Alligator mississippiensis: one gene and its partner. The protein of the gene in region 2 binds, or shares a complex with, the protein of the main gene of each other region. Links are inferred from orthologs where the notes say so. Each region holds a gene or a part of one and is shown on either strand. Other genes may lie near its edges. The genes, in order: CORO2A and TBL1XR1.

The links.
Region 1: TBL1XR1 (region 2) and CORO2A share a complex: the UniProt entries of both Homo sapiens proteins name them as parts of the N-Cor repressor complex. The link is inferred for Alligator mississippiensis from reciprocal best matches to the Homo sapiens genes TBL1XR1 and CORO2A.

What each region holds. Positions count from the first base shown.
Region 1 is NC_081826.1:153,244,659-153,255,708, reverse strand, and holds the start of CORO2A (coronin-2A), read right to left. Parts: upstream 4,894-11,050; 5' UTR 4,429-4,893; coding exon 4,414-4,428; intron 1-4,413.
Region 2 is NC_081830.1:79,319,727-79,331,548, forward strand, and holds the start of TBL1XR1 (F-box-like/WD repeat-containing protein TBL1XR1), read right to left. Parts: upstream 5,060-11,822; 5' UTR 4,564-5,059; intron 4,389-4,563; exon of another isoform or gene 4,343-4,388; intron 3,968-4,342; exon of another isoform or gene 3,676-3,967; intron 3,432-3,675; 5' UTR 3,244-3,431; intron 2,132-3,243; exon of another isoform or gene 2,043-2,131; intron 1-2,042. UniProt on the Homo sapiens protein: F-box-like protein involved in the recruitment of the ubiquitin/19S proteasome complex to nuclear receptor-regulated transcription units. Plays an essential role in transcription activation mediated by nuclear receptors.

The DNA of each region.
Region 1 (11,050 bases), on a different chromosome or scaffold from region 2:
ATTAGAGAACATACTAATTTAATGTTGCACTAAGTTTGGTTATAATGTTGTTTGGCTGCCCCCTGCTAGTAGTTAACTACTTTGTAACGTAATTGGATTTGCTTAACATCATTTTGCTTAAAGTCACATTTTTCAAGAATGTAACTAGGACATTAAGCAAGGAGTACCTGTACAGGGACACAACAGCCCCAAGCTGTGCATGCCCCTGCAGGATAATCAAAGCTCAGGCTGAGGTCACGGAGCATCTTGCCACAGTGGGAGTGAAGGGGCCAAGGAAGATGAAGGCATTTTGTACCAGCAGCATTGTCTTGGCTTGCAGCTATTTCTCTGGACCACCCAGCCATTTCACTGGCAGGGATGAGTGCCAAGGGTAGTTTATACCTTTGACACAAAAATCAGGGTGTCTGCTCTCAGTTACAAGGCACCAATGCATCAAGGAACTCTACTGCTGTCAATAAGCAGCACCTGTGCACACTTTCTATGCAACCTCTGGGCCAAATTCTGCCCTGGGTGACTCTCCTGTGGCTCCACTGATGATAATGGGGTACAAAAGTAGCCGGTTTCAGATGGTAAAGCTTAAGATACAGAAAGAAATTCCAGGAAATTGCCTGGGGGACATAGTTGCAATCACATAGTCAAAGGGGCAGAGAGGGGAAGTCCTACTCATGCAGCCTGCAGAGGGGATGTCACAGACAATGCAGAGACCACTGACCACTAACTCCTGCTGTTACTGCACACAGACAGGCTGCAGGGATCTTAATGACATCCTGCAGCCTTCCAAGAGCAAGTACAACCAAAGAGAAGTGAAGATAGAGTAACTTCCACCCATGGTATGTGCTGAGCACCTGAACCTCCATAGTGCTGGACACTTTCAGCTCCTGTTGTATACTATGAGACACACCCACAGCCTTGGAGCAGCTTAAGATGTGCAGGGTGAGGCTGGGATTGATGTCCTTGCAGCAAAGGGTACATTGGCCAGCATGCTGCTCTCACTGCTATAAGATGGAGGGGGATACTCAGGGCTCAACTGCCCAGTGCAACCCATGCCACCATCCTCCAGGCAAAGCAGATAGTTGAGCTGCATGCAGTTGGCTGTGTGGGATTCAGGGGGTTTGTGACAGCTGTGCAGCTCCAGCCTCTGGTATACTCTGCTCTGTGAAGAACAGCCCAGGCCCAGACCACACAAAGCAGGGAGGGGCTGCAGCAAAGTGCATGCACTTAACTATGCCTTGCTAGTCCTGCTGCTCATCTCTCTGGGGCACAAGCCTATAGCAGCTATCGAAGTACAGTAAGGTTCACAGCCCCCAGCCCCTAGCCAGAAGACTGTTGGCTAAATACCAGAATTCACTCCCCTCCTGTCTATGAGCTTCTCAGATGACCTGGAAAGAGTTAGTTTACCTCTGTGTTCACCTCCATGAGGCTGCTGGAGCACCATTCTTGTTTGCCAAGATTCTAGGGCAAGCAGAGCTGCAGAGGACGTTACAACAAAGCCAGTTAAGTATTTTATAGTAATCATGGGGGCAGAGATGTTCCCCATGGGCTAGTACAGGGGTTTTCAACCTTTTTGGGTCATTGTACCCCCAGCAGCCGGTTGACAAGGCAGGAGTCCCCCAGCAGCCAGACGAGCAGCGGGACGGGGGGGCGGGTCCCCCAGAAGCCAGTTGACAAGACTCCCACTGCCAAGTACCTCCTGAGGCCATCAGAAGTACCCCCAGGGGTATGTGTACCTCCAGTTGAAAACCCCTGGGCTAGTAAAAGCTGATCCAGTGCATGGACTGGGAGCTGCAGCTTACTGCCCTGCTTCCCAGAGGCTCCATCAAAGTGCCTACTGCTGGAGTCCCATCCAGCTGGCCAACTGACAGCAGACTCGAACCCGGAAGGGGTAGCCTTTCGGGGAAGAAGAGGAACCTTTGTCTCTGCAGGAAAGTGCAGTATCACGTGGTGCAGGAAGCTGCTGCCCAGGGCATAGAGGAACAGTGGAAAGTAACCATCCAGCACCTCTAGGCTACAAGATTATCTGCCCTGGAAGGGAGGGAACGTGACAGAGTTTGGCCTGGACAGCCAAGACAGTCAAAATGAGGTGCCAAACATACAAGCAAAGAAAGTCCTAGAGCTCATGATGGCAAATGAAAGTCCTAGAGCTCATGATGGGCTGTGTGGTCACCACCCTCCACACACCAGGTACAAGATCATTTGCTCCTAGCCCCAGGCATGTGTGTATGTGTACACTGCATATCCATGTGCCTGCATGTGTTGGACACCATGTGTGTATGTGTCTATGTAGGGGTGGGGTTTTGAGGACCCACGTACTCTGTGCTGGATTCTCCTGAAGACTCAGAGGGGCCCTGCATCAGGCAGTGACTTTGTGACTGCACTTTTGCATCTCATCCAGCCCTAGGCAGAGGACCAAACTCCTGAGGCCCAGCTGGGAGAAGTTTTGTCTTTGCACCCACCTTGGGACTGCTGAGAGGCCCAAGGTGCAGAGGGTGTTGGAGTCAAAGCATGGCAGAAGTGAAAGGGACAGGGCTGCTCTCTCCAGTGGCACCAGCCCAGTGCAAGTAAAAAGTGACTCTCTCCCCTTCTGGCTCTGGTAGCCCCTCAAAGCACAAATCCTGCTAGCACAGCCTGCCAAAGAGCTATTGTGGGGGCACAGAGTTATTGCTCAACTCTACACATATCAGACTGAGGTAGAGAGCCAGTGTCCCCAAATTCAGCCTTTCCTAAGCTTTCAGCTCCATCATGGCACTGTCTGGACTGGCTTTGTAATGCTTCCCAGTGCTATGGATTTCCAAGGTCTTTTGGATTCTGCTCCAGCCTCTCCCCCGGCACTGAGTTCTCACCAGACCTTTTTACATGCAGCACTGTCAGGACACCACCACAGCATAAAAGTGTAAAAGGGAAGCTGTTCCCTTAGGGCTGCGTGGGCTGCACAACATAGCTGCCTGCCTGCACTTTCCACTGGCAGCACATCATGCCCAAAGCTATTGCCTTTCCACCCAGTGGGGATTGCAAGCAACATGCTGCCACCACCCTTCCCAGACCACAAGCAGGGCAAAGCTGGAGAGACATCAATACCTGCATCCTGTGGGACTGCATGCTGCATGCAGCTCAACCCACACCCAGAGCACACACCAAATACAACCTGGACAGGCTACATGCATTGCCAGTCCACAGAGAATGCTGCTGGTTTTCCCTCTGGGTCACATAGCAGACACCACACAGATGCCAACTTTTCCAATTGCCTGCAAAGGTAGATTAGGTCTAAAAAAGTGTCATCTGCCCTGCCAAACACCCATGATTGCCACCCCACAAATCTCAAAAATGCTTTCGCTCAACAAGGACATGCCTCCAGAGAGATAGATTGAACTATTGAAAGAGCCACCCAGATACTATATGAAGAATTGCTACAGTACAGAAGGAAAACCCTCATGAATCGCACACTACTGGTTACGACACATCACCCCTCCCTGGAACCTATACAGAAAATCCTCAAACAATTGCAACCTCTACTAGAAGGAGACCCAGTTCTTAAAGAGATCTTCCCAGAACCACCCATCCTAGCCTTCAAACAAGCACCAAACCTCACTAACCTCATAACCAGAAGCAAACTTTCTATGGCCCAAAATACACCAAATGGATCCAGACCATGCCAGGACAAGAAATGTAAAACCTGCCAACATATCTCCACCACCCCCACAATTACTACATCCCACAACAGAACCATCACCATTCCTGGATCTTACAGCTGCACCTCCAGAAATGTAATACATCTCATCCAATGCACCAAATGCCCCGATGGAAAATTTGTACGAGAGACCAAACAACAACTGTGGAAATCTATCAAAGACAAGAATACCCAATTAGCTGTGCGGGCACGTTTCTCACAAGAAAACCACTCTCTCTCCAATCTTTCAGTTCTGATCCTCAAGGGGAATTTACAGAACACCTTTCACAAATAAGCCTATGAACTTCACTTCATCAACCCCCTGGATACTAAAAATCATGGACTAAATATAGACATTGGATTGATGACACATTATATATAACCTGCCTAACATCTGACTCCCCCAGGTACCTCTCCACTATTTAACTGTTACATTCATCCCCCTTCTCCCCCCTACCCAGCCTGTCTCTCACCCACTGGCTCCTCAATCTACATCTTCACTGACTGCCTGTCTTGTGTGCAGCCCAGCCTCTGGCTTCTTTACTATTCATTCCATCCAAGAAGAGCGCACACCAACTGCAGATGCTTCCTCAGCCTGCGGAAGGGGATTTTCTACCCGAAAGCTTGCAAAGCAAAATGTTTTCCCACTCTTTAAGCTGGTCTAATAAAAGATACCAGATTGACCCAAAGCACCTTGTCTGCCTTTTAGCAGCAGGTGCACCCTGCGCTCCAGTCCGATGCTCTCCTACCTTTGTGATGGTCATGCAGGATTACTCCAGGCCAGGGAGGGCGTGGTGTCCAGCACCCGCTGCAGCAGCGATCTCCAATTCTGCAGGCACACGCAGCCCAGCCCTGCCTCCCTGCCGGCTCGGACGGAGGATCCCCTTGCGGAGTGTGGGCGATCCCTGAGTCACGCTCATTCATAAGTCATGACACAGGGCTGCCTGGCTCGCCTGCTGCAAGAGGCACGAGAGAGCAGGGAGGATCCGAAACGAAAAGCAAAAAAAAAACACCCACCCAACAAACCAAGTAACCTCCAGCTTCCCAGCGCCTGGCAGCGGCAGAGCGAGCTGCGGGGACACCGCACAGTCCCTGCAGCACAGCCCGGGGCGGGGAGGTCGGGGCTCCGGGGGGGTGGGGGAGGAGAGAAAAGGATCAGAGAAAGAGATTTCCTTCCTTTGTGTGCGGCAGAAATAGGAACCTCGGCAGGGAGAGCCGCTGCATATGCATGAGGGCGGGCGGAGCCTGGCTCCACCTAGGCAGACCTGCCCTTCCCTTCCCCGGCCTGCGCTCTCCCGGGACCTGGTGCAGGGCACGTTGCGGGAGCGCTCTGTCGCGTGGGGGACTCAGCTCCTGCTGGCGCATCGCATCAGCCCCTTCCCTTCAGCAGGGCTTCCTCTGGCAAGGGTGAGCGCAGGGCAGGGGCAGGCGCGGAGCTTAACAAGAAATAAAGCAACGTTTTAAGGGGTTGCAGGACACTGAGCCTTCACGAGAGCCAGGGCAGGGGCTGAGCTGCTTTGCTCCGAGGATGCGCTCGGTGTCTGTTGGTGCCTAAATGGGTGATTGGGGCAGATTCCCAGGAGAAACATGCAGCAAGACTAGTCCCTGAGGCCTTGGGCTGTGGGAGCCTGCAGCTCTGGTAGCTGGCATTGCTGATGGGGGAGCAGAGTGCAACCTCCTGCTCATGTGTCGGGAGTGTCTCGAGGCTGTCCTGCATCATCCAGGACTGATCTTGTGTGATCTCTCTTGGCTGGGCTCTGGCTGGCACATATGGATGTGGGCACCACTTCCAGAGGACTTAACTGTCTGTCTATATATGTGTCCACGCTATTAACACTTGCCTTTTCTACCCAGAGCCCTCTGCAGGACAAGCAGTCGTCAAGTCAGCATCTGTCTGCCACAGGAGCCCTAGTAACATATCACGAGATTTCCCCCAAGCTGATGGCCACAGAGAAAGGAAGGGTCACAGGCAGAAGCATTAGCTATGTTCTCAGCATGCCACATAGCTGTTTCTTCTGCCTGACTCAGTGGGGATGTGGGGGGGGAGGGGTGCACATGCCCCACCGAGAGCGCCAATGCACCTCCTGACCAGCTGCACTTGCCAGTTAGGTGAGGACTGGTCCCCCCCTGTGCCCCCCCTGACTAAGGCGGCATCAGTCACCCATAGCCTGACTCCTGCCCCATTGGTAGTCTTGTATTTAAGTCATTGGGTAGACTGCAGTAGGAAACCATCTGCCCCAGCAAGGGTAAGAGACCAGAACCCAGCCCCAGCCTTTCTATGGCAGCATCCTTTTCACTGAGCAATGCACCCTCCCACTTTAATCTTTTGTTGCACATATCTTCTCCCCTTGGCTGCCCAGTGAGTCAGCTTCAAAGGGAGGGCTGCAGAGTGCTTTGGGCAATTCCTGGTAGCCAAGGCACTTCACTGCGTGAAGTGGGCCTAGGACTCAGGTGTTTCTGGCAAATGCCCTAACCCCTACTTGCCCTTCTCAAGATAAGTGGAATTTGGGCCTGTATCTGTACATTAAACCAACTCTTTAATCACAGAACTAGCACAGAGGTGCTTCAGCTCATGTACTATCCATGAGCACGTGGATTGACTCCTTAGCACACCTCCAACTTCTGTCCTTCTAACTCTGCTCCAAGGTCCATGCATTTTTTTCCTTTTAACAAGAGTGTGTGTGTGTGTAGAGCAACTGCTGACTTGCTGAAGCCAGTTTCCACTAAAACATATCCCACAATGGGCAGATGACCTTTCATTATCTTCCCACAAGCCCATGCAGCCTTTTGATGCCTTCAAACAAAGTTGTGAGGTCTAATGTTAGCTCTGGCTGCTCTTCAAGATGGTAGCACATTTGGACTGGTGCTTTACATTCCTGGCCTTTTCTAACGTTCTTTTCTTGTGTCTCTGACCAACACTCTGGATTAACTCTCATGGGTTTCTGCCAGCTAAGGAGTGGATTGGTTGACTCCCCTGGCAATCTGGTTTATGAAGTCTGGTTTATGCACCTTATGTGCATTCAGAGAGGGTGCACCATGTTTGGAATGTGTGAGTGTTAGAAAACAGTGAAAAAATTAGCTCAGGTTTAGGCCACTCTGTGGCTGAGAGGTGCTGCCAAGGTGCACAGCGGGACACACAATTGTAGTGGCCATCTCCCAAAAGAAAGGAAAATTATGAACAGAGCTGCTGAGCTACTACCTCATGACAGCTGCACAAGTGATTGCAGGGCAAATTCCCTTCTGGCTTGGTTACCTTTGCTCAATGAACCCTAGAGCTGGGAGAAATGATAGGCCATATTCTTAGCAGGTGTAATCCAACATACCTGCATTAAAGTGACCTGAGCAGATTGCACCTAGCTAAGGATCAAATCCTATAGCACAAATGGAATACCTCTAGCCAGGCCTGTTAGCTCTAGGGATTTCCTATGAAAAGAAGCTATTTCTCATGAGCCTCTTAAATGGACCTCTTATGGGGCAGCCTGAGCCCAGGGAACATAGCATCTGGTCCATTTTAAATTTAACTGAGGATAACATTTGAAGAGACAGACACCTTCATGAGAATGAGAGTGACAGAGGACAGGCTAAGGGGCAAATTGACAGACAGCTCAGTGACATTCTGAACTTGTGTAGGAGGGTTTGGCAAGTCAAACACACAGGTCACTCTTTGATTTTCACATAAGAACAATGTGTAGCATTTTTCAGCACTCAGGTTTATGGAATATAATCACACAGAGAGAGTAAGGACCAGCCTCCGATCCAGGATGACACATGAGAATATTACACCAGAGCCAAGTGCTGCTGGTAACGAGCCCAGACTAATCACTGGCTCAGCTTCCAAATAATAATATACTGTAATAGGAACAACATTTCTTCCTTCTGGATTGCAGCAGTGCTAACAACTGAACATCCCATGCTGTGGGTGGATGAGCAATGTGGACGTGACCCATCATGCAAAGAAGATTGTTTGCTTTTCTCCACTTATCAGGATTACCTGGGAGTTGTTGGAAGCTGAAAATATGTGCCTGAGCATGTTTCTATCACAATGCCTGCCTAGTTTGGTGGCACACATAGAGGCAGTGGGGGGACAGTTCTTCAGTCCTGAGTCCAGGGTGCATTGAGAGATGGATGTGCTGCATGCTGGCCTTATGGGAGGCCAGGATTACAGGCCAGTGACACTGTGGAGCCAGCCCAGAGACCGGGGCAGAGCCTCCATCCACTCCCCACATGTCCCTGCCCACAGAACTGGTGCCCATCACAGGGACATGTGGGAAGTGGATCATGGCTCTATCCTAGGCCCTATCCCCACACTGTCACTGCCCTGCAATCCCAGCCCCAGCCCCTGCCCACCTGTCCAACTCCCAGCCAGACACTGCTCCATGCCCGCCTGCGGACTCATCCCATCTGCCCGCCCAAGCGTGCCCTGCCTGCGGGAGTCCTGGCTGGTCTCCATGGAGTCCAGAGACCCTGCCTGCCCACCTCTAATGGGGCTTCTACCCCGTTTCTAGAATGAAAAGAAGGCCAGACACCTCTGGCCCATTCCCCCCTCTTTCATCACCCTCCCCTTTCTAAAGCTTTTCCTTCCTTATCTTGCTGTGTGTTGACCAGTGCTTCCTTCCCTTGGTAGAGGTCCCTTCCCCCTTTCCCCTGGCCACCTTCCACTTCATCTCAGTCCTCTCTCTCTCTCTCTCTACCTGTGCCCTGGGGGTAACCCCTGAGCCAAATTCAGAGGGAGGGGGGGACTGCAGTAAGATGGCTGCTGGGTCCAGGTGCAGGCAGAGCCAGGGGACCCAGGCAGGGGAACTTGCAGCAAGATGGCTTCCAGGTCCAGGAAGCAAGTCAAGTAACCTGGGCACTTTCTGTTGTGGTTTTTCTACATGGAGCCCACCACCAAGGGGTGCAGTGAACCACAGGCAGACCATTCCTTTGGACTGGTGCTTGCACTTTGGGGGTTTCATTTCCCCCTTTCCCTCCCCCCTCTCTCCCGGATGGCCAGGTTGTAGCTATACGTATGGAGGAAGCCACAGAAAGGGGATGACTAATGGGTGCACCCCAAACTTGAGATTGCTCTATGTGGAACTTGAGATCATAGAGCATGACTAGAGTGTGTACTGTGGCCATAGGAGGCCAAACTTGACTGAACTGTGAGACAGCAGGTAGCAGGGGGTAGGTGTGAGCCAGCAGTGGCTGTCATAACAGAGGATCTGCTGATAGGAGGAACTTGACCACTCTGTTTACTGCTTGAGACTGAGCAGGAACCAGCCACATGCTGGTCTAAGACAGAGCAAGTGGGAAAACAGTAAAAAATAGGCCCAGATGCCCAGTGGGGACAAATTGGCTCAGTGAAAGCATGACCCATGACTGCCAGTGCAGCAGGCACCCAGAACAAGGAGAGGATGCTAAAGAGTGCAGTATGGAATTTGTTCTCCAGGAGGTCCAACCAACCCTTCCATTCTGGGTCAGCGTCTACAAGGGTGGCTGCACAACAGGGATGCCAGGCTGTGAGGAGAATGGGCACCTTCCCCTAACTGTTCCTCCTCCAAATTCTCAGGGTGCTCTGGGAATTCACTGAAACTAAAGAAGCTGTCATTCACCCGGAGCTGCTTGGATTCACAGATGTTATAGGCAGGGTTTCTGAAATGACAAGAAAGCCTCACCTGTGTCCCAGACGGCCAAAGCCGACTCGAGGTGATTCAATAATTACTCGTTCGTCGGGGCGGGCTGGTGAATAGAGAGGCCGAGAAAGCTTTATGGTTGTAAAACTTTACTTACGTCGCTTGCTGTTGCGACAAAAATGGTCCAGTCGTCTGAACAACTACGTTAGTTGTTCCAGCTGGCAGGGCTCAGGCCAGCACGTCCGTCTACAAATCGGGCCGGCAGGGAAAAGGATACGTCTGGGATTGCACTCGGCGACGGGGAGACGAATCAATAGGTGATCAGTCTATCGATCAGCTCAGCCACGAGTCAGATCTCTTCAGAAGCACTCTGCAGCGTGCTCAAAGTTCTCCGACTTGGGCGGAAGTCGCGCTAATTTTTAAACGGCCAGCAAGCCAATTACTAGCCGCCACGTGTGCATAATTTAGAACTGGCCAATAGCGGGACACAAATTTACATTCGAATGGCAGGAACTCTCCTGCACCGGGGGTTTTCTGCAACAACAGAAAGCCTTTACTTTGCAAGAGGCTCTCATGTGGCGGGAAAATTCCACCGTGCCGAGGCACCAAAATCACTGGGTTGTGACAACCTGCATGTAGCAGAAACAGGCAATGTCCCCCCTGCCTTCTCCTGCCCGTACACACAGACACATACACTCCCCTGGGCATTGTCTATGTGCTGATTTGGACAGATTACTACAAGTAGAGTCCCTACTGCCTACTCAGAACTCATCTCTGCACTAACACTACCCAAGTGATGGCACAGACTAACAACTGTAGGCATTGAGAGCCCCATCCCATGTAAAATAAGGTCAAGAGCAACATAGATTATAGACATCCACAATTAAGGGTCAGAGTCAGTATACAATTTATGCACACATGCAAACTAAGGTCTGTAAGTAGTATTCATTATTAGGGGTGCACCGATATAAGATTTTGTTGGCCGATACCAATAGCCAGTTATTCACCAGGATATCAGCCGATACTGATCTAATAACCAATTTACAGGAATACAACCAGGCAGTGTGGAGAGCAGCTCCCTGCATGCAAGTCTGTGGAGAAGAAGGGGTGTGGGGGAGCAGATTGAGGCCCCCATGGTGAGGGAGGGAGTGGGGTAGGGGCTGGAGGCGCTGCCCAGTCAGGGTGGTGAATGGAACCCCGGGGCAAGAGTGAGACGGAGCCGCAGGTGGCTCATCCGGGGGATCAATGGCACTTAAAAATGGTGCTTAAAAATAGCAGAGGGGGCACTTGAACTAGAGCTCATGAAACGAGCTTTAGTTCAAGCCCCGCCACCACCATTTTTAAGCACAGGGATGCTTTTAGGGGCGGAGCCAAGCAGTGTAAGGGTGGAGGCAGGCTGCCTGCTGTGAGCTTGGGGCTCTCCACTCTGCTGCCTTTGCCCCAGGACCTGCATATTGGCCGTGTGTCCCCTGCCCGCACGGTGGCAGGAGGCAACACTTGCTACCGCCACCACTGCCGGGTGGGCAGGGGACATGTGGCCAGTGCATGGTTCCCAGAGCAAAGGCAGCAGCACAGAGAGCCGCAAAGCTGCAACAGGTAGCCTGCCTCTTCCCCGTGCACAAATCTGGGGGGGAGCACATGCCCCCCCAATGCCTCCCTGGGTGGTGCACACAGCGGTGGGGAGCTGCCACACCCCAGTGCCCCTGGACAAACTGCCTGTGGCTCCAGCCCCGGGGTCCCATTCACTGCCCTGACTAGGCAGCACTCCCTGCTC
Region 2 (11,822 bases):
GTGGTGCCAGGCACATGATTTTCTCTGAAGATTCAACACCTTAACTCTTAACCTGGATAAAACTCCAGAAACAAAACATTATGCAGGAAATTGCTACATGGTCTTAACTCTTTTTCAGCAACTATGCTCTTTTTCAGCAACTATGCAAAGCTTAGAGATGCAAACACGGGTGTTTATACCCAAAAGCTTGCAAAGGAATTTTTTTTTCAACTATTTTAGTTGGTCTAATAAAGGATATTACATCTACCCAAAGAACCTTGTCTGCCTATGTCCTTAGGCCAACAGAGCTACAACCTATACCCCTGAAACAGAGTAGGAAACTTTCAAAAGTTAATAGTTTTGATCCATAAGAATCTACAAGTGTGTGATATCACCCTGATGAGTGTAGGGATTATAAAAATCTGTCTGCAGGTCACACCAAGGGTTTAAAAAGAGCCCTGGCATCAGCGGCAAGACAGCAGCATGCCGCTCAACTTGAGAGGACCGTTGCCCTGCCTGAGGGAGCAGGGAGGCCTGTACCCGTCCTCTGGACCATCTAAAATTTCTAGAAATGCTGCTGCAGCTACCCAAAGTTTTGTTGCAAAATGTTTGCTTATGGCAGATGAACATTTGGAGCTTCTCCATAACATGGTACACAGAAGATAGGCTGTGACTGGATATTGACTGTAAAATACAGAAACAAAAAACCCAGGACATCCTGTGAATGACTGAATTTTAACTGCTCGGCATCAATTATAATTAAGATCACTCTTTCGCAACACTGAGGCAAATACTCCACGTACTCTGTGACTTAACATTTTTAGTCTTCATTCCATTGTTGTAAATCTTCCATCTCCAACATTACTCCCAGAGAAAAACAGGCATTACAGCCCGAAAAAGAAGTTTGCAAACTCAGCAAAATACCAGTAGGGCTTAATTTTCTGAGACGCTAAGCACACAAAATTGTTCCCTGACTTCAAATGGAGTTGCAAACACACAGATTTTTTGCAAATGTGACTAGTGTCTACCATACATGTTGTCTTTTCCAAATGAAAGTGCCAGCCAACTCATCCACAAGAAATAAAACAAACTTTTTCAAGCATCCAACTTTACTACAGTATAAATTCAACCTGTAGCCAACCCTTCCATGCCTCCATGTGAAGCAGGATGGGCAGCATCTCTGTAGTCACTTAGGAAGCCTTCCTAGAAATAGGAGCATGGGGTGTGTACTACACACTATTTTGCCCACAGCGTACTTTTTCAGAAGTTTAAAAATTATCTATAAACATTAAATAATCAACATGCAAAAAATATATTATTTTGGTAGACATATACTGAAGTAAAGATACTCAGCTCATTTCTCTGTGGGTATGTAGACACACCCCCAAAATAATGTAGGCAATACAAATATAATAATAATTTAGTTCCAAACCCTACAAACACCAACCCATATGAGCAACTTATGTACATGTGGAGACTACATGAGATAATTGGTCTGCAAAAGAATAAGCCATGTGTGTTACATATTTACAGGATTTTCTGATTTAAGCCCCACAAGCATGTCAATTTAGGAAAGACAGACAAAGTAAATGTAAAATTGCGTAATTCAGTCTAAGAAAAGTTTTACTGAAAGTTTAAAAACCATATGCAGCTCATGGTTCTGACCACTTATGCTCAGTCCAACCAGATACTCCTTATAAGAGGTCACAGTGCTTTGAAATATCAAGCTCTCTCACAAGGGGAAAACAACTATGAAGTTGCAAGTAAACTAGTAAAGTACTTGGCATTTACATAACACCTTGTAACTTCAAAGCACCACACACACACACCAGTCATTACCTCACAGATTAAAAACCCAGAAGCAGCATTTGTACAAATTCTCTTAAAAAAACAAAACAAAACTGTAAATAGAAGTCTGAAGGAAAGTATTACACTTGCACAGCAAACAGACCTAATGATGTTAGGCATTCAGTCCTCCAAATGAAGTACACAAATCCAAATAAAAAAAAAAAATCTAACTCATTGATATACTAAAAGCCAAAACACAAGTCCCAATTACTCACATATTTAAGTCCCAGTTCATCCCTTCCCTCTCTTCTTATGGAATGCATGCTAAATATTTCCCAAGTGATCTCAATAATAATTTGGGAGCCTGGGTTTCCAAGACACTGGATTCCCAAGATACAATACCACATGAACCCTATTTTCATGGAGAGAAAGCCTGGCACTCCTTTAACTAACATAACTTAGTAAAACAGAGAGAGCAGATAGTCACAAATGGCCTGGGAGTAAAAGTAAAAGGTAAGTTCTAAAATAATAGCTTTAACCAAAAAGAAAAAAAGAAATCATCACAATAGGAAGCCACAGAAAACCTGCTACTATTATTTAAGCAGCAACAACAATGTGCTTGGCACATTTCATCTTAACAGTCCCTCTCCCACCCCTTATGTTTTCAAGATCTACAAACAATATGACACTTGCACAACTTTAAGCACACGCATAACAACTTTGCACAGGATCAACACATTTATAAAATTGGTTGATGAGATTATTAACATGAATGGGTCCCAATCAAGGCCCCAATCTCACCATGAGTTTCACAAGGGCAGATCTCCAAGCCTGTGCTTAATTTGAAGCATAAGGAGGGCTGCCAAACAGCCCTAGAACTTCAGGCATTATTCAAAAGCCATACCTGAAATTTTGCAAATGGCACCTTCCTGCAGAATGGGCCCAAATCAAAGCCTGAGTCAGTATCCAATGAGCAAAAAACATCAATAATAAAACATCTCCATTGTGAATATGCTTTGTAACATCCTCAAGTATTTATTGTAATATCTTCATGACAGTAAAATGCTGTGTAGTCAAGCTCAGGCCAATTTGTGTGTGTGACAACTGCAGAATCCTCCTGACCACAAGTTTCTGCCTCCTCTCCTTTAATAACAAAGAGTGAGCATGCTTTGCCAGCTTGACTATAAATCAGTTAATTTACCGATTTACACAGACAGGAAAATAAGGAAGTTGAGTACATTTGACAGTAGTGAAAAAAACCCAAAAACCCAAAAACAAACTGCAACAGCAAACTTCACACGGCAACCCCACACAGCAACCTACAGACCAAACTTTCTTAAAAAAAATAAAAAAGATTCACCTTGCTATCTCAAGCAACAAGAAAGCACGAAACACATACCAGGCTCTCACAAGAGACTTTTCTCTCTCATAAATTTTGCCTTCACAGGGAATATAGTGCTGAAAGATTCAACTCACCTGTAACAACTTTAATTTCTAAGTCCACCCCTTCAAAAGCAGACTAAGAGACTGCACGTTTTGGTGTTACAACTGCTACACATGGTCGATCACCAACTCAGAGAGCCTCTCTCCATTTTAGGTGTAAAGATCTAGTGCACAGGACAAGCCTGACTGCTTCATTTTGCATTTTTTTTTGAATGATCAAGCTCAGGGAAAAAAAACAAAACACAACACACTTATGAAAAAAAAAAAACAGAAACACTTCCATTTCCACAACTAGGGCCCACATCTTGCTTCTCCATGTGGCCCTTCCCGTCACCAAAAAGCTCATGTGCCACCCCAAAGCTCATGTGCCCACCCTCAACAGGGGACTGCCACACACAGAAAACTTTGCCACTTCCCAGCTTCAAATCCAAATGATAAATACAAGAGGGTCCCCCTCACACCCACCCAGGGCTGCAGAAACACAAAGGAAACCATTCCCTTGAACTTCCAAAGGGAAATGCACACAGCACAATTGCAAAGAAAGGAAATTAAGGAGAGAGGAAAAAATAGAAGGGGAAGGGGGGGAGGGGAAAACAAACAACAAAACAATCACACAGAGGGGAAAAAAGTGTGGACACAGGAGCACTCCCCTCCCCCACTCCACCATGAGTTCAGCCACAAGCACATTTCTACCCCATACAAAGGCACCAGAAACCCATTGCAAAAAAATCAATCAATCAATCAATACAGACCTAAGGTCACACTTCGGGGTGGCTTCCCGCCCCCACACCCCCCTCTTCTTTCTTTTTTTTTTTTTTTGTAATATGTGCACTGCAAAATAAACACATTCAATCCTACAAGATGCCTCTTCTTTACACCAATCAAGCTAAAAATAGGCTAGAAACCAGCCTGCCTCATGATGGCTCCTTGATTCAATTTGCAGCAAAATCCTTCCCCCCCCCACCACCACCTTTCCCCACCCTTTATTTTAATATATATAAAACCCAAAAGGTTGGGGGGGGGAGGGGGAGCCAAGGGTGGGAAAGGAGAAGAGGAAGGGGGTGTGTTGGGGGGGCACAAAAGCACCCAAACAAGCTGGGACGAGGGGGGGAAGGGGGCATGCAAGGCTCACCAGCGGCTCCCCAAAGCCAAAAACACCCCTTGCTCAGGCAGCCAAGGGGGAGGGGGGAAGGGAAGGGAAGGGAAGGGAGGGAGGGGGGAAAGGCATGTTAGTGCTGCCCATCCCCCACCCCGCTTCTCCAACCAGCTGCCCTCCCCCACCCCCACCCCTATGCACTGGGAGGGGGCAGAGGTTACTGGTGCAAACCCCCCCCAAATAAAATAAATCCTTACCTTGCAATGGAGGGCTGAGTGGCTGCTTCCCCCCCCTTGGTTTTTGCAATGGAGAAACACACACACACGCACACACACCCTCCCTCCCCCTCCCCCCCTCCAAAAAAAAATAATAATAAAAAAAAAATTTAAAAAAACCCCCAAACTCCAAAAGCAATTCACCCCGGGCTGTCTCCTCCTTGCTACATCTAGGTGTCTAATGGGTGTCTTTTAGCTGAGGTGCCCACACCGAGGGGGGAGGGGAGAAGAGGAAGGGGAAAAAAAAAAAAAAGAAAAAAAAAGGCAGTGGGGGGGGAGGGGGAGGGAAACACACACACGGGGGGGGAGGGGAGGAAGTCACCACCAAATGCTGCTGTGATATTCAATTAGGGGGGGAGGGGGAGGGGTGGGGGATGAAGTCCTGAGGAGGAAGAGCGGTAACGCACGCGTGTGTGTGTGTGTGTGTGAGTGAGTGTGAGGCGCGGAGCGGGGCCGGCGGCAGGAAGCTGTTACTAGGGGAAGGAGCCAAACGGCGCGGAGCAGCCAACGGCTCGAGACGCCCCGTGCGGGGACGGCGCGCCCGGCCGCACGGAAATGGGCCGGCCCGGGGGGGCGCCGCGCGCACCCTCCCGCCCCTCCTGCCCCCCTCTCCCCTCCTCGGACCCCCCCCAAACACACACACACACACACACACACACACGGGGGAGGGGGGGCACTGGGAGGTTTACAAGCCAAATGCATGGTATTGCCAAGCAAAGCCCTGAGCTGGGGGGGGAAGAGGGACACTTTGTGGGGGGGCAGGATGCAGGATCCTGCTCCCCCCTTTGCTCACCAGCTGCATATTGCCAAGCAAAGCCCTGGGCTGGGGGGAAGATGCAGGACCCTGCCCGCTTTTCCCCCTCTTTGCAAGGCAGATGCATGATATTGCCAAGCAGTCCTGGCTGGGGGGGAGATGCAGGACCTTGCCCCCTTTTTGCCCCCTTTTCACCTTCTTTGGAGCCTGCCCGCTTTGCCTGGCAATATCTCACGCAGGTGGTTTGCAAAGTCCTGGGCTGGGGTGACAGAGGGCACTGGGGATCCTGCCCCCTTTGCAAACCAGATGGGTGAGATATTGCTAAGCAAAGTCCTGAGCTGGGGTAAAGGGCATGAAGGGGGACACTTGGGGGCGGGGGGCAGGATGCAGGACCTTGCCCCCTTTTCTCACCAGTTGCACGAGATATTGCCAAGCAAAGCCCTGCACTGGTGTGAAGATGCAGGATCCTGCCCCTTTTTACCCCCCTTTGCAAGCCAGCTGTGTGTGATATTGCCAAGCAAAGCCCTGGGCTGGGGTGAAGGGGGTACTGGGGGGGGCCAGGATGCAGGACGCTGCCCCCTTCTCTCCCCGTTCGCAAGCCAGCTGCGTGAGGTATTGCCAAGCAAGGCGGTTTTGTTGTTGGAAAATAGGCAAGCCACCAACAGCCAGGACTGCCAGCTGTGGGGGTGGGTTAGCATAGGGGGGTGGGAAGGGGGACGACATGGGGGTATAATATACTAAGGGAAATCCCCTCCCCTCCCACATGTGCTCCAGGAAGTACAAGGCAGTCTTGGCAGGCAGGGCTGGTTTGTTGTTCAAAGCATGCCAGCCAGCAGAGCAAGGGCCAAGCGTGGTGCAAGGAGCATAGGGGGCTGGGGTCCAGCACAGCCAAGGAGGCCCTTTCACAAATGTACTCATGTTCCTTACACCCCGCAAGCTAGTGGCACACTGTACTTTTGCCAAAGGCTGGGGTTTGATTAGTAGGACTACACAAAGCAGAAAGCACCAACAAAGCAACATATGGGGGTGAAACAGAAGCCATGAGTGTCCCAATTCAACCAGAAGAGACCTCCCCCACCCAGGGGAGCGCACCCTCCCAGAGCTCTGCAGCAGTTTGCACTGAGCAATATTGTCAGGCACTGTTAATTTATTACTGATGTCGAACAAACCATCAGCAACCAGAATAGCAAGGAGGAGTAGGCACAGGCACTGGGGTTCAAATACAGCAGGAGAGGCGTTTCCCAGATTGTGTGCACACAGCTTTGCAACAGCTTGCGCAAGGCAATAGAGCTGGCCATTGTGCTTTTATTGTTGCTCTTATTTTTTTAAGCACATCCATGGTGTATTGCCAGAGCACTTGCATCATGTACATGTAGCATGTCTGTAATGCTTTATTATTTTAAATGCTTGATTATTAACTGTAGTGTCTGGTCCTTACGCCCTGACCCAGCCATTACAGGATCAGCGCTGTAGCGTTCCTGTTTCTTAGTAAAATCCTTCTTTTTCATTATATTTAGTCCCATGCACACTGTTCTTTTTCAGACTCTAATAATATTTAGCATTTATATCACAATTCAGGTTTTCCAAAGCAGGATTCATTCATATGAATCATCTTGGGGCTTTTTTCTGAGCACTTGCCTAGCTCAGATCCTGCAGTCAAATCTTCATGAGCAATGCCCCTACAAGTCCCAAACTGATCGGCCTGCAGGAATAGGAGCTGCGGGATGAATTCCAAGTAGAGACTTCATACCAGCATGCTTCACAGGCGGCCAAAATACTCCCAACCCCTCTGTAAGTGACAGAGAGGCTCAGTCGCTGTTCCAGGCCACAGCCTTAGAGTAGGAGCTATGAAGATCTGTACCATGGTGTCATTTCTGCTCCGTGGTGGGGGAAAATTTTGCATTTGTCCTAATTACCAGGCTTGATATGGGTGAGCATCACCTTATACTGGTCCTGGACCTGCAAGCTGATCCACGTAGATGGATCCTTGTGCCCTAGCACAATTCCACAGGAAGCCAAACTCCAGGACTTCAGCGGACGCCAAGGATCAGCCCCATTGTTCGGTTTTGCAGGATCAGGGCCAGAGTGCTTTTTGTTCGGTGCTTTCTAAATAGCTATAATAATAATAATCAGTACTTGCAGAAAATAGCATTTTTCATTGTGCCATCCAAAATAGCTCAACACTTGGCCTTCCAGACAAGGCTGCAAAGTCTATTTCCGCAGAATTTTGGAGACGGCTGTATCATATATGGGAACAGAAGACTGTGAAGGAGGGGTTTATATCATTAATTGCCATCCAGTGGATTGTTGTGCTGAATTACTGAATTAAGTAATTCGGTATTACTAAATGTTTATCTTTTTAATTGATTTTTAATGGGCTGAGTTTGCAAGGTCCTACACTCCACCTGATGGTATTTCTTGTCCGTTTGTCTACCTAGCAAGTTTGGCATATTAACTTTTGGACACGACACCTGTTCAATTAAAAAATTCCAGGAAACAGACAAGAACACCATTGATGTTGGGGAGCAGATGGAAGGGGAACTCCTTTTCCCTGTTTAAGAGAGCCACAGCTTCATGCACCCCTGCAACAGCAAGATGCAATTGATGGTGGTACCCAGTCACTTTGAATTATTTCCCCTCCTAGCTGAAAGAATAGAAATGATAATGTAGGATGGAGATGGGGGGGAAATGGGAGCTTGCTCATTCATGCAGAACTCCTGGCTCTGTGGAGAGAAAGTGGACCCCTGGTCTGGGGGGGATGGAGGCTGTACACAGACAACTTGGCATGGAGGAAAAGAGAAGAAGGTACTTTTAACTAAATAATAATCTGTAGCACCTTTTGTTTTACAAGCCATCTAGTAATGATAGACACAGGACAAACCACAGTGTTTCCGTCAGGAAGTGGATCCTAAGTCCTACAAAATTTGGATCTGAGTTATGTTTCTAGCACATCCCTAAATAAGAATAAACTTTTCATTTTCTAGGTACTTTAATAAGGCTGTGACTCGCTTTTAGTGATGTCGGAAAATAGTGGCCCTGCGTTGTCCCTGAGCAGTCTCCCTGAAGCTGGTGAAATTACTCATATAGTAGTGAATGCCGTGTTCAGAAGCTGTGTTTGCAGTATCATCAACTGAGTATGCACAGCACCACACACAGTCTGTGCTCCATAAACAATAATACTTGGCACTCAGAGAATGGTTTCTATTTTCAAAGCACTTAGAACCAATGATACTTATGTAGCATTTTACATCTTTGCAAGAATCAATTAATCCTCGCAATGCCCTGTGAGATACGGATAGGTAAGCACTGTATAGCTGCTGTTGTTTTTTTTAATGCCACATATTCAAACTATTTTTTGGAATGCAAATATATCAGTAATATTTGTTTTATAAGCATTTTCAGCAAATAATGAACAATGACAGTATCTTAAATCTATATCATAATTTGAATTCTAACCCTTTAAATTCAGTATGTTTTACTGGGACCAGTTGAAAGGCTTAAATATACACAAGTAGAAAGATAATACTTGATATAAGAGGGAAAGGGATCAGGCCCAGCCTTTCATAGTGGCTGCATGCTAAAGTATAGGTTTCAATATTATTATTATTATTATTGTCCCTAAACCATTGTTTGCTTCTAGAGTTAGACCTTGATCATGTAAAGAGCCCTTTGTGAATGAGACTGATTTTAGCTTCCTGTCCTTTACAAATACAGTATCAGGGAAATGCAGCCATGTAGAGAATTGGGTGGAAGGTGATAATGACTCATACATTGTGCAATAGTAAGGGGTGTGCCAGTTCTGGCCAGGACTAGGGCAAATCCTTTTTCTCATAAAAATTACCGTATTGTCTTTGATATGCATGCAAGCCCTGATTCAGTCTGATACTTAAAACTGTGCTACTTAGCCCTACTGACTTTGATGGGACTGTCCATATGCTTGATGTCAGGGATATGCTTAAGTACTCTGCTATGACTGAGGAGGAAGGGGGAAGAGCCGGGAATACCTAGAAGCACACTGTGTAGGCACTTGTACTCCACTTTAAGAGGGCTTTTCACAGTAAATGTTCCAATGTGGATTAGCCTACACCACACAAAAGTGCTCATGGCTACACAAATAGAGCTGTTTTGAGATAGTTGCTAGGCTTTTGCCACAAGGTTCCTCCTATATGTCAGTGTACCTACCCCTGTCCCAAAAAGAAACTGCCCTGGAATAGAAACAAGTCTAAATTTCCCAGGTTAAGCATTCTTAATTTGGGTTGACAGGGTGTGTCATGGGGCCGCAACTTGGAGTTTATTGGAGTCTTGGTGTGACATAAGGGAACTAACTATTCAGGAGTGACTATTATGTCAATTTATACCCTGGCAATTTCTAGATAACTTCCCAATGTGGACAAGCACAAATTCTGGAGCACGGCTCAGATAGAACCTGAGTTTTCTATCTGCTTCAGTACAGCAGAGAACACATTAATTTGTTTAACACTATACAAGACCATTGAGAGCATGCAGCTATAGAAGAACATGAGAACATGGGGGATCTCTTAAGAGTGGGCTGCTTTCCCCAGTTTCCAGCAATGAAACTGGTTTGTCTGTGTATTGCATGCGTGTCAAAGGAAAAAGAAAACAATGGTTCTTCAGTTTGGAGGGACTCATTTTATGTGCGTGGTAGCTCACCAGAATTGACCCCATTTTTGTTGGCAGATTCAAAAAGGTAACAGAGGTTTCCCTCGCTTTATGCTGTACATGCATTCCTGGAAAATGATGCATAACTCAAATTTTCATAAAGGGACCCCACTTTCCAATGTAATGAATAGGGATACATTCCAAGACCTCGACTGTAGTGACCCCCAGAGCCATTTCTACCACTTTTACAAGACAATTTTGGTACTCGCCGACAGCAGACAGTACACACAAGCACAGGGCACTATCATTACGGGGATGGCAACTGCAGAAACATGTGTTGCAGACAACAAGCAAGGAGCACAGATCCACGCAGGAGACTATATTTTGGCGCGCGTCACTCCCACAATGCACCGCATAAAGCAGCTGACTGTGGGCTTCCACCACACTGATCACATAAGGGTGAATTTACCTCTCATATAACTAATTTTTGGTGTACAAAGGGTCATTGCATAAGAGCGAATTCGCACATACAGAACCCGCATAAAGCGAGAGAAACCTGTAGATTGTGGTAGGAGCTGAGCACCTTTTAATATCAGACCTTGTACTTCTACCCTACATTTAGCCTAGCAATTAAATCAGTAGTATCTTCTGCATGTATTTGGGACAACAGCCAAGACATTACACTTTCTTTCCAACATGCCTGGTGCTCATGTGATGCCAACCTTTTCTGAAGGTTGTTTTTCAGCAGACACTCTAAATACACATAATATTTATTCCATTTATATAATACCAATATTATTATATTATTCTTGTATTAATAATATTATATTATTATTAATACAAATAATACCAGTTATTTAAATGGTAAGTGTGTTACATACAGTGTAGGTATCTATAGAGAAAAAAATGAGTCAATTATAAAATAATAAGATGCTTAACAAACAGATCTGTATATATTGATCCAAGAGACTTATTTGTTGCCTTAACTAGACTTGGAGCAATAACGCACATAATGAGCGGCCATTTACCTTTCTATCTTTGGTGCATTGTTTGAACCCAGGCTAAAGGCCAACTAACTGCCTTTGAGGCGTGAAGATATCTGGTATGACTGCATTTCTGAGAGCATACTCACAGTGTTGTAAAATGGTTCTAGTATACCTATGTAACAATGAGCCAATAACTTGTGGTAATCTAAGGGATTTAAGTGAGGAAACAGGCCTTGTGCTACTAAAAAGGATGGATTTCACGTGGTATGTTTAGAGGTCACTATGCACGGTAGCAGGGAAACAATTAATGTGGCTTAAGCCTGACAGTGTTGGAATCTATCGTTGGGGGTTTAAAGCATTTCTCTAAATGTAGGCCCCATGCCAGCCAAAGTTTCTCAGCTGCTAGCCCATCACCCATAAAACCAGCAGGACTTTTTTTGGAAATCCAGCTTTATGTGCTTATATTTGTACACGTACACCTGGAAAAGTTGCTGCTTTGTATAAAGAAAGTGTGAGGCTAACAATACTAGTTTTTTTAATTCTTCCTTTCAGAGAGGAGCTTCCAGCCCTCACCTTCTCCTAAGAAACAGCCCTTTTTAAGCATGTTCAAGCTTTTTCTCATCTTTTTTTTTTTTTTTTTTTGCCTGATACTTCCAATGCTATGCTTTGGCTGCAGAAGGACTGGCAGAAACATGCTATGGGTATCCAGATCATGCCACTGATTTACTGTGTTCATCCTCCAGCCAGTGGTCAATCCCTGTTGCTTTGGGGAAAAAAAAAATCACTCTTCTTTGAGTGTGATTGATGCTTCATGGAAGGTGCATACCCTGTCAGGCTCTGGCCCCCGGGCAATAGTGCAGTGCTGTGCATAGATACAGGAA